Rattus norvegicus: one gene and its partner. The protein of the gene in region 1 purifies or fractionates together with the protein of each later gene. This does not show direct contact. Links are inferred from orthologs where the notes say so. Each region holds a gene or a part of one and is shown on either strand. Other genes may lie near its edges.

Region 1 (4,052 bases):
CTGTGTCTTCCTAGCCATGCGTCCAGGTAGATCCACAGCCTTCTGTTTTTAGAGACAGGGTCTCACAACATAGTACTGACTGGCAAGGAACTACTTAAGTAGACCAGGTCGGCCTCATATTGATCATTTTGCTTTTGTTCCTTTCCAAGCGCACACCAGGCCGACATCAATATTTTGCAAAGAAGTAAACCAAGGTGTAGCCAGCACTCTTCCCCAAATCTCATATAGACCCCGTAATCAGGTTCAATATTAGTATTCTACGCTTTCTACACAACCTATTCTCGGTAAAAGGAAGCAGGAGCTAGCCTGCTTTTCTCCAGCCCTCCTTTGGGAGACTGCCTTCCCTGAGACTTGTCTAGGGGCTCGATCTGCAGGAGACGCAACCTAATGAAGCACTACTAAATGTAAGGACCACAGCCTGGGTGTCACCGAGGGGAGCCCGCAGAGGACCAGGGCTCCTCATAGGAAGGCTGCGGAGGCCAGGGGACACACAGGGCGATAGCGCCGAGAGCCTAAGGAACTGAGGTTCCTTCCGGGACACGCCTCTGGAACCGCGGCGTCCAGCCGCACAACCGTCACTTAGGGCCCAAAGCGATCCTCTGCGACCCGCCCTTGATCCCCACCTCCGCTTGGCTCTTTAAGGGTGGGGGACACGCGCAGGCGTCACAAAGCGCAGCCACCGTGGGGCCTGGCGGGGGAGAAGCGAGCAGGCGGGAGCAAGAGCAGGAGCAGAGTAGAGCAGAGCACAGCGAGGAGGGCGGGGGGAGGGAGGGGCGCGCGCACGCGCACCGGGCCGCTGCCGCTGCGAGCCGCCCCCCTCCCGGCGCGCGCCCCTCCTCCTCCTCTCCCTCCCTCCCTCCCTCCTTCTCTGCTCTGTCGCTCCCGCGGCGCGAGGCGCTCTCGCTCTCCTTCTCCGCCCCTCCCCCTGCGCAGCCGCCGCCGCCGCCGCCGCCGTCCCGAGACCCCAGCGCACGGCGCGCCCTCCCTCGTGCGCCCCTCCGGCCCCCGCGGAGAACGAGAGGGCAAGCGAGCACGGCGATCCCGGGCCGGCTCGGCCCCCCTGTCTTCACCATCGCCTGCCCTCCGCCGCCTTCCTTCGCTTCCACCTCCACTCCCCCCCCCACAAGTAGAGGCCCCCTCCGGGGGGGGGGGAGGCCCGGGGCCCGGAGCGGATTCCCCCAACTCCCTTAGGCCCGCCCCCGCCCGGCCCGAGTGTGAGGAGGGCCCGGGCCGGCCCGCGTCGTGAGTGAGGAGGACCCCGGGCGGGCCCGCGGGCCGTCTGGGGCCTGGTCCGGCCCCGCCAGGCGTGTGAGGACAGGGGCCCGGCCCGGCCCGAGGGCGAGCGGAGGGGAGGGGCCTGGTCCGGCCCGGCCGGTGCGCGAGGACTGGGGCCGCGGCCCCGCACGGCCGCCGCCGCGATGGCCCAGCAGCAGATGACCAGCTCGCAAAAAGCCCTGATGCTTGAGCTGAAATCCCTGCAGGAGGAACCGGTGGAGGGCTTCCGGATCACCCTGGTGGATGAGTCCGACCTCTACAACTGGGAGGTGGCCATCTTCGGACCCCCTAACACCCTCTACGAAGGCGGCTACTTCAAGGTACCGCCACCCTTTCCCGGCCCAGCTTCCCCTGTCTCCGCTTTCCGCCGCTGGCCCGGAGCGTGAGCTCTGGGGAGCCGAGGGGGCTCCTCACCTCGCATCCCCCTCCCCCATCCGTAGAGGCAGGAAGGCCTTGCTCACCAAGTGCCTTTTCTTTGTCATGGGGCGGGGGCGGGAGGCCAGACTGCACCGGGAAATAGGAAAGCCTCTGTGGCTGGGGTAGTGGCTACCGGGAAGGAGGGTTGCCTTTGTTTTGTTTCTCCAGCTGAGGGGTGTGTGGAAATAGAGATGGTCTATCTTCTCTTTCTCGATCCATCCGAGCCTTCTCTGCGCAGGCTGGAACTGCCCCAGAGGGCAGGGTGACCTGCACTTATTGGATTGGACTTTTCTCTTTTTTTGGGGGGGTGGTGTGGGGGAGGAATATTAGTCTGTCATTTCCTATGTGGCTGGTGCCCTGACATTTGGAGGATTTGTTGGTCTTGGGTAGTGGTAGTTCAACTTTTGCTTACTGTAGGTGGTAATAAGGAAGAGGACCCTGGGGGTGGCCAAAAAAGGGAGGGTGGTGTGCTGGCGTTGTCTTTCTGTTCATCCGCTTGAGGGGACTTCAGTTTAGTCCTCTTTTTTGCCCTCGTTTTCCCATTTACTTTATAGTCAGTCTCTGCTGTTGCCAAAATGCCCTTTGTCCTTTCCTACCGAGTTTACTAGCAACCCCCCACCCCCCATGTACAAACATCCACAAAGGGTGGAACACGTCAGGCAGATGGATAGTTTCCCACTTTAGGGAGACAAGATTAAAAGCTTTTCCTTAGGTGGTTGTTAGCTCCAGCAAATGGGGTCGTCCCACAGATGAGCCGCATCCGAGGTGACAGGGTTTCTCGTGGTGGAGTGGTTCCTTAGGCAGCCACTATATAGACATTGTTTCTATTGTTTTCCATGAATTATTCCTGAGTTCAGTACTTGGAGATACTGAGTTGTTTTTTTTTTTTTTTTGTCTTGATTTGACTGAAGCGTTTTTTGTTTGTTTGTTTGTTTGTTTTGGGAGGGTAGAATCCCTGAGTGAAGATGGAGTAGGGGTAGAGACAGAGGAAATGGGTGTTTAGGAACCCATTTATTTTTTTATTTTATTTTATTTTATTTTTTTTTTTTTTTGGTTCTTTTTTTCGGAGCTGGGGACCGAACCCAGGGCCTTGCGCTTCCTAGGTAAGCACTCTACCACTGAGCTAAATCCCCAGCCCCAGGAACCCATTTATTATTTTATTTCCAAAATTAGGTAAAATAGGCCAATGAGTCAATTTTAGTTTGTTTTGAAGGGAGGGGTTATCTTGGCACAAGTTTTAAACGAATATCTTAGTCATGTAGTTGTGATGTGTATTTTTAGGACTACCCAATTACTTAACTCTTATTTTCTACCGTTCAAAAGCCTCAAGTTTCAGGCTTTAAACTGGGTCAACTTTGTTGAAAATAGGATTGATAGGGAATGCTTAACATTCGTGCATGTGATAGTTGCTGAATACTTAGTAAAAGGACATTTTTAGAGTGTTATGTAAGAGTGTGGTATCCTTACCAACTGTTTGCTTCATCTTTTGTGGTCAGCATGCAGCTATGCTTTTTAGATGCAGGTGCTTAAAGTGACTAAGTGAAGGTTCAAGTTTATTCGTGAAAGATTGGAAGGTATTGTTCCATGTTGAGGTGTGTTATATGCACTGTCAGATACAAGTTTTAATTTGTAGATATTGGGAATATTGCACAAAGTGGAGTTCATGAGACATTTCCTAGAAAACATCTTCAAAGCAGACTACTGATTAATTTTAAAGAATACAGTTGTTTATTTGTTTTTTGCTTTTTTTTTTTTCTTTCGACAGGGTTTCTCTTTGTAACCCTGGCTGACCTGGACCTTGTTCTGTAGACCAGGCTGGCCTTGAACTCACATAGATCACCCTATCACCCTGCCCCTGCCTTCCAAATTCTGGGATTAAAGTGCCACTGGGCTTAAGGATACAGTTTAATTTCCAAAAAGTAGTATTTCTGGAACAATTGATAGTTAAGTAAATGGTAGTTAATCTCCTATTGGAATTTGTTTTTAAAAAGCTTTGAAGGTAAGACTTCCCTTTGCTAATGATTTGGAATTGATAAAATGGGAATATTCCTTGTAGCATATACTAATTTAAGGTAAAGCCAGGCAGTGGTGGCTCACATCTCTAATCTCAGCACTCTGGAGGCAAAAGCAATTGGATCTTTGAGTTTGAGGCCAGCCTGGTCTACAGAGCCAGTTCCAGAATAGCCAGGGCTACACAGAGAGACCCTGTTTCAAACAGCAGCAGCAGCAGCAGCAGCAGCAGCAGCAACAATAATAAAATACTTTGGGCTAGGACTGTAGGTTAGAGGCAGAATATCTGCCTAGCTTGCATGATGCTCTGTTTTTTAAACTCCAGCAACACACATACAACAAAATAAACA
Region 2 (4,226 bases), on another chromosome or scaffold:
CTCTTTGGAAATGGGAAGAGTTCTAAGTCATCCACTTTACAGGGGCAAAGAATTGAAACACACTTGAGAAGCAGGAAAGCTTCTCAAGTCACTGCTACTGTGAAGTGGGTTGGGTACAATGAGCCAGGCCCTCGAGATACACGATAATAGCCAGAGCTTGGTTTCTACAGCCAGATCTCCAGTAAAACATAAACAACTTCACAGACCATTAACATTAGACAAGGCCACAGAACGGCCTTATCTTATGGATCAAGACAAAAACAAGACCACTCCATAATTACTCGTGAACACAGATAAAACATGAACATTGTCTAAGCCCCTGACACACGGCTACAAGAGGCTGTCATCAATTACTGGATTAGTTTCAATCTAATATAACTTCCCATAGATAAGGTGTCCAACCTTATTACCCCCACTTCCTGGCAGTATGCGCTCCAGAGCCCCTTCAAATCCTTTTCTACATTACCTAATGTCTCTTACTGAGACGTCCATGATTCATCGTGGTGCATGTTCTCTTCTAGTTCAGCTAAAATAAACCCACCTTGTTTAACTACAGCGTATTCCTGGGGGTTTTTGGTTTGAGGGTACTGACAACTTGGAGGGCACACAGAGTTAAGAGGAAGAGTTCACTGGAAGTCTCTAGATGTGTTTCTTCACAGCATTTCTAACTCTTGGTGAATGTCTGCTGTCTTCCCATTAGAATTAAGCTTCACGAGAACAGAGGTCTCGCCTGTCATTTCCAGAGCTTAGGGCAGTACTAGTAGCAACGGAATGCTTAAAAATGTCTTCAAAATGATCAGCTTCTTTCTCATGGCTCAGCTACTTCCAGTGTAGCAGCTCTCCATACATCTGTTTCCCAACTCAAGCCTCCAAACTTTTCCTCTTGAGATGTCCATCTTCCCTTGGTTGGATCTTCGGGCTCACAGACCCCTCCCACACCTCCTGGTGCAACCTCGGACCCACCTGTCTCCACCATCTGTCCCTACCAAGTGTAATACACCGGGCGGCCGCGCAAGCACCTAGACGACCAGTGGGCACTGCAGACAACTACTGCGCATGTGCGGAAATCGGTCGCACCGCAAAGATCTCAGACAAGTGAGGAGTTGCCTCGGAGTTTCCGTCCGGGTCCGGGCAGCCACCCGCTGCCAGGAAGTCTGGAACGACCAACCGGAAGGAGACCGCGCGCGCGAGGATTTCTGGGACAAGTAGTCGCGGCGCTCGCGAGGCCCTATCCCGAGCAAGTCCTAGATACTCCAGATCTGCATGTCCCCGCACTCCCAGCCCTGCCCTCCCCTAGGTGCTCTCTCCCGTGGCGGAACCCTGGCAGAGTGGCCCGACGGCTTCTTGTTCCCATAAGGCTTAGCGATCCGCCGCGGTTGTTGGGAGTTGTAGTCTTCGCCGTGCGTCCTGCGTCCGCCGAGGGGGAGGGCGGAGCTGCCGGCGGCCCGGGCGGGCTGGCAGCTAGAGTGGGTGCCAGAGCTGCCTCCGCCGCCGCCGCTGCCACCGCCTCCTCCGCCCGGGCCGTTCGCTGCTGAGCGGAGAGAGCGAGGCGGGGCCGCCGGGGCCGCCATGGAGCCCGACTCGGTGATTGAAGACAAGACCATCGAGCTCATGGTGAGTGCGGCCCGCTGGCCTTCAGTTCTTCCGGCCGGCCGGCGGCCCGGGGGCCTGCCCACCTCGGCGTCCGCGCCAGGCCAGCCCTCGTTCCCCGTCGCCTGGGCCCGGCCGGCCCCCTGCTACGGCTCGCTGCTGACGCCTCGCGCTCTTGGGCCGGCCCGGCCTCCGCTCCCCGCGAACTCCCCCACCCCCTCCCCGCTCCTTGCCGGGCTCCGACCAGTCTCGGGCGCCCCTGCCTCGCTCCTGCCGGAGCCACCGCTCACTCTCGCCTTGCCATCACACTGTCTTTTTAGAAGGGGATTTCTTTTTCCCTTCCCTGGATTCCTCTGCCAGGCCTGCATCGCGCTTCCCAGCCCCGCTCAAGCCGAGGGTGATGGTGGTGGGAGGTTGTCCGAGACCAGTTGGAGCCGCTTCGGCCTCCGTAACCTAGGCTTAGGGGGTGGGGTGGCGGTGGGTCTCAGCACCCTCACCCCAAGCTACCGCTGTGTGGATGCCAGGATAGGCCCTTCAGGACTGGGATGTTGGGCATGCCCACGAGTCTGAGGCTGTAGGGGATAAGGGGCCTCTTTTCCGAGCCCCTGCGGTGTCAGGCTTCTTGGACAAAGGGTTTCCTACCCTGCCGTGAAGGATGTTTGTATAGCAGGGCCCTAGGTACTCAGAATTCCATCCCCCAGAAAAGGAAAACCATAACTTTATCATTTGGGAAATGAGAGGGGAGGGAGAAGAGGTCGCCTTCATCACTGCCACCCTCTTTTCTTTTAATAATAAAAAGCGGGACGGTGTGTGTGTGGGGGTGTTCTTGACCCACCGAGAAGCAGCGATCCCTTTACTGTTAGAAACCCTTGGTAGCCAGGTTGGTCAGGTCTTCCCGGACACCCCTAACCCATTTCTGACCTCAGACTTGGTGCTAGAAAGGTTTTTGGAAACAGGGCTGTGAGTGAATGGCTGGGAAAGTGAAGGATTTGCTTATTGGTGGAAGAAATAAAGTATGGCTGGTAGTACCTGCCAGTTTGAACGTGAGGGAAATCAAACTGGGCCCAGGAGAGTTGGGGACATAAGAAAGGCTTCTTCCTGTGAAAACCTTGACAGTTTCTTTGTATCTCTACTAATATCGTAACAACTAGTATCTGCCGCACAGTACTGAGGAAAGGTGAACGATCTACTGAACTTAGCAATGTGTTTTCCTCGTCAGAGTTTCTCCAGTGTGAAATGCTTATTGAGTCAGTGATTCCACTGGGTAGGGTTGGTGACATCAGAGCCACTTCCCCCATTTAGTGCTATAAATAATAAATGGTGATACTGAAAGTCTGTTGGATAGCCCATGGTTTTTGTGGATGATGTTGTCCAGGGAGCTAAGGTACACGTTTAAAATGGAAGTAATAGTAGCATAACTACAGAGTCTCATGTCTGCTGGACTCAGCACAATGTGCAGAACTGGATGGTTGAAAAATCAAACCTGGAAGTTTCTGGGGTGTGTGTGTGTGTGTGTGTGTGTGTGTGTGTGTGTGTGTGTTCACAGGGATTCTGTCACTTTATCTTCAGGTTCTGAGGACCTTTTTTCTTTTTCAGCATCCAATTGTCGGTTGTAACAGTTTGGGAAACTTTAGTAGTCCGTTATTTTGACAAAATGTCTTTAAAACGTGCCTTATGTATTAATGTGAATTCACACGTGCACCACAGTGGGCCTGTGGAGGTCAGAGGACCATGTTGTAAAGATTCTCTTCTGCTTTTACCTGGGTTCTGGGACTTGAACTCATTTCGTTCTGCATGTATGATCACGTGTCTTTGGTTGAGCCATCCTGATGACCTCTTTTTTGGCAAAGTGTCAAAGTATCTTCATGTATGAAGATACATGTTCCATCTTCTTAAAGACAAAACAGTATATCTGCTTTCATAATGACCAGTGCTTCATATGAAACATATTCACTTAAAACAACCAAAATGTCTTCTTTTTCAGGAGAGTTAGAAGAAATACAGTGTAATTAACCTCAGGCATGGTCTTTTAGCATATGACTAAAGAAATATTCTGGCCCACACTTACTGGTTTTCTAAGCTTATAACTGTTTTGTTTTGAGTAACTGTTAAGGTGCTGGGGTGCACCTTAGTGGTAGAGCACATGCTTCCTTAGTGTCCATAAAATCCTCATGGCTGGGTTAGACTGTGTGATATTGTTTGCCCTTACATTGAAGAGATGTCACCTAATGAAGACATAAAAGGGATTTAATGTAGGATTCTTAGAAATGTAATAAAAAAATGTGCCAGGCATGGTGGCACATGCTTTTAATCCCAGTTCTCAGGAAGCAGAGACAGGTGAATCTCTGTGAGTTAGTCAGCCTGGTCTACAAAGTGAGTTCCAGGACAACCAGAACTACACAGAGAAACCCTGTCTCTCAAAACCTAAACAAATAAATGAAATCCCCCAAACCAACCAAAACAAAGACCAAACAAACAAAAAAACCACAACCAACCAAAAGTCAGTCTCAAACCCCCTAAAGATTGTAGTGCCGAGGCCTGCATTGCTGGATCTGATTTACTGTCTATGCGTATGGCTCGTTGCTTGAGTCATTTATAAGGTGTGCAGCTACAGTTTTTCCAAATCGTTGGTACCT

The links. The genes of interacting proteins can lie anywhere in the genome.
Region 2: the proteins of Ube2r2 (region 1) and Fbxw11 purify together in Homo sapiens (affinity purification with mass spectrometry; 4 studies listed by BioGRID and IntAct, with this or other methods). This does not show direct contact. The link is inferred for Rattus norvegicus from reciprocal best matches to the Homo sapiens genes UBE2R2 and FBXW11.

Annotation. Positions count from the first base shown.
Region 1 is NC_086023.1:61,081,309-61,085,360, forward strand, and holds the start of Ube2r2 (ubiquitin-conjugating enzyme E2 R2), read left to right. Parts: upstream 1-1,243; 5' UTR 1,244-1,418; coding exon 1,419-1,595; intron 1,596-1,736; exon of another isoform or gene 1,737-1,941; intron 1,942-1,985; exon of another isoform or gene 1,986-4,052. UniProt on the Homo sapiens protein: E2 ubiquitin-conjugating enzyme that accepts ubiquitin from an E1 ubiquitin-activating protein, and catalyzes its covalent attachment to other proteins by an E3 ubiquitin-protein ligase complex.
Region 2 is NC_086028.1:17,735,772-17,739,997, forward strand, and holds the start of Fbxw11 (F-box/WD repeat-containing protein 11), read left to right. Parts: upstream 1-1,425; 5' UTR 1,426-1,569; coding exon 1,570-1,614; intron 1,615-4,226.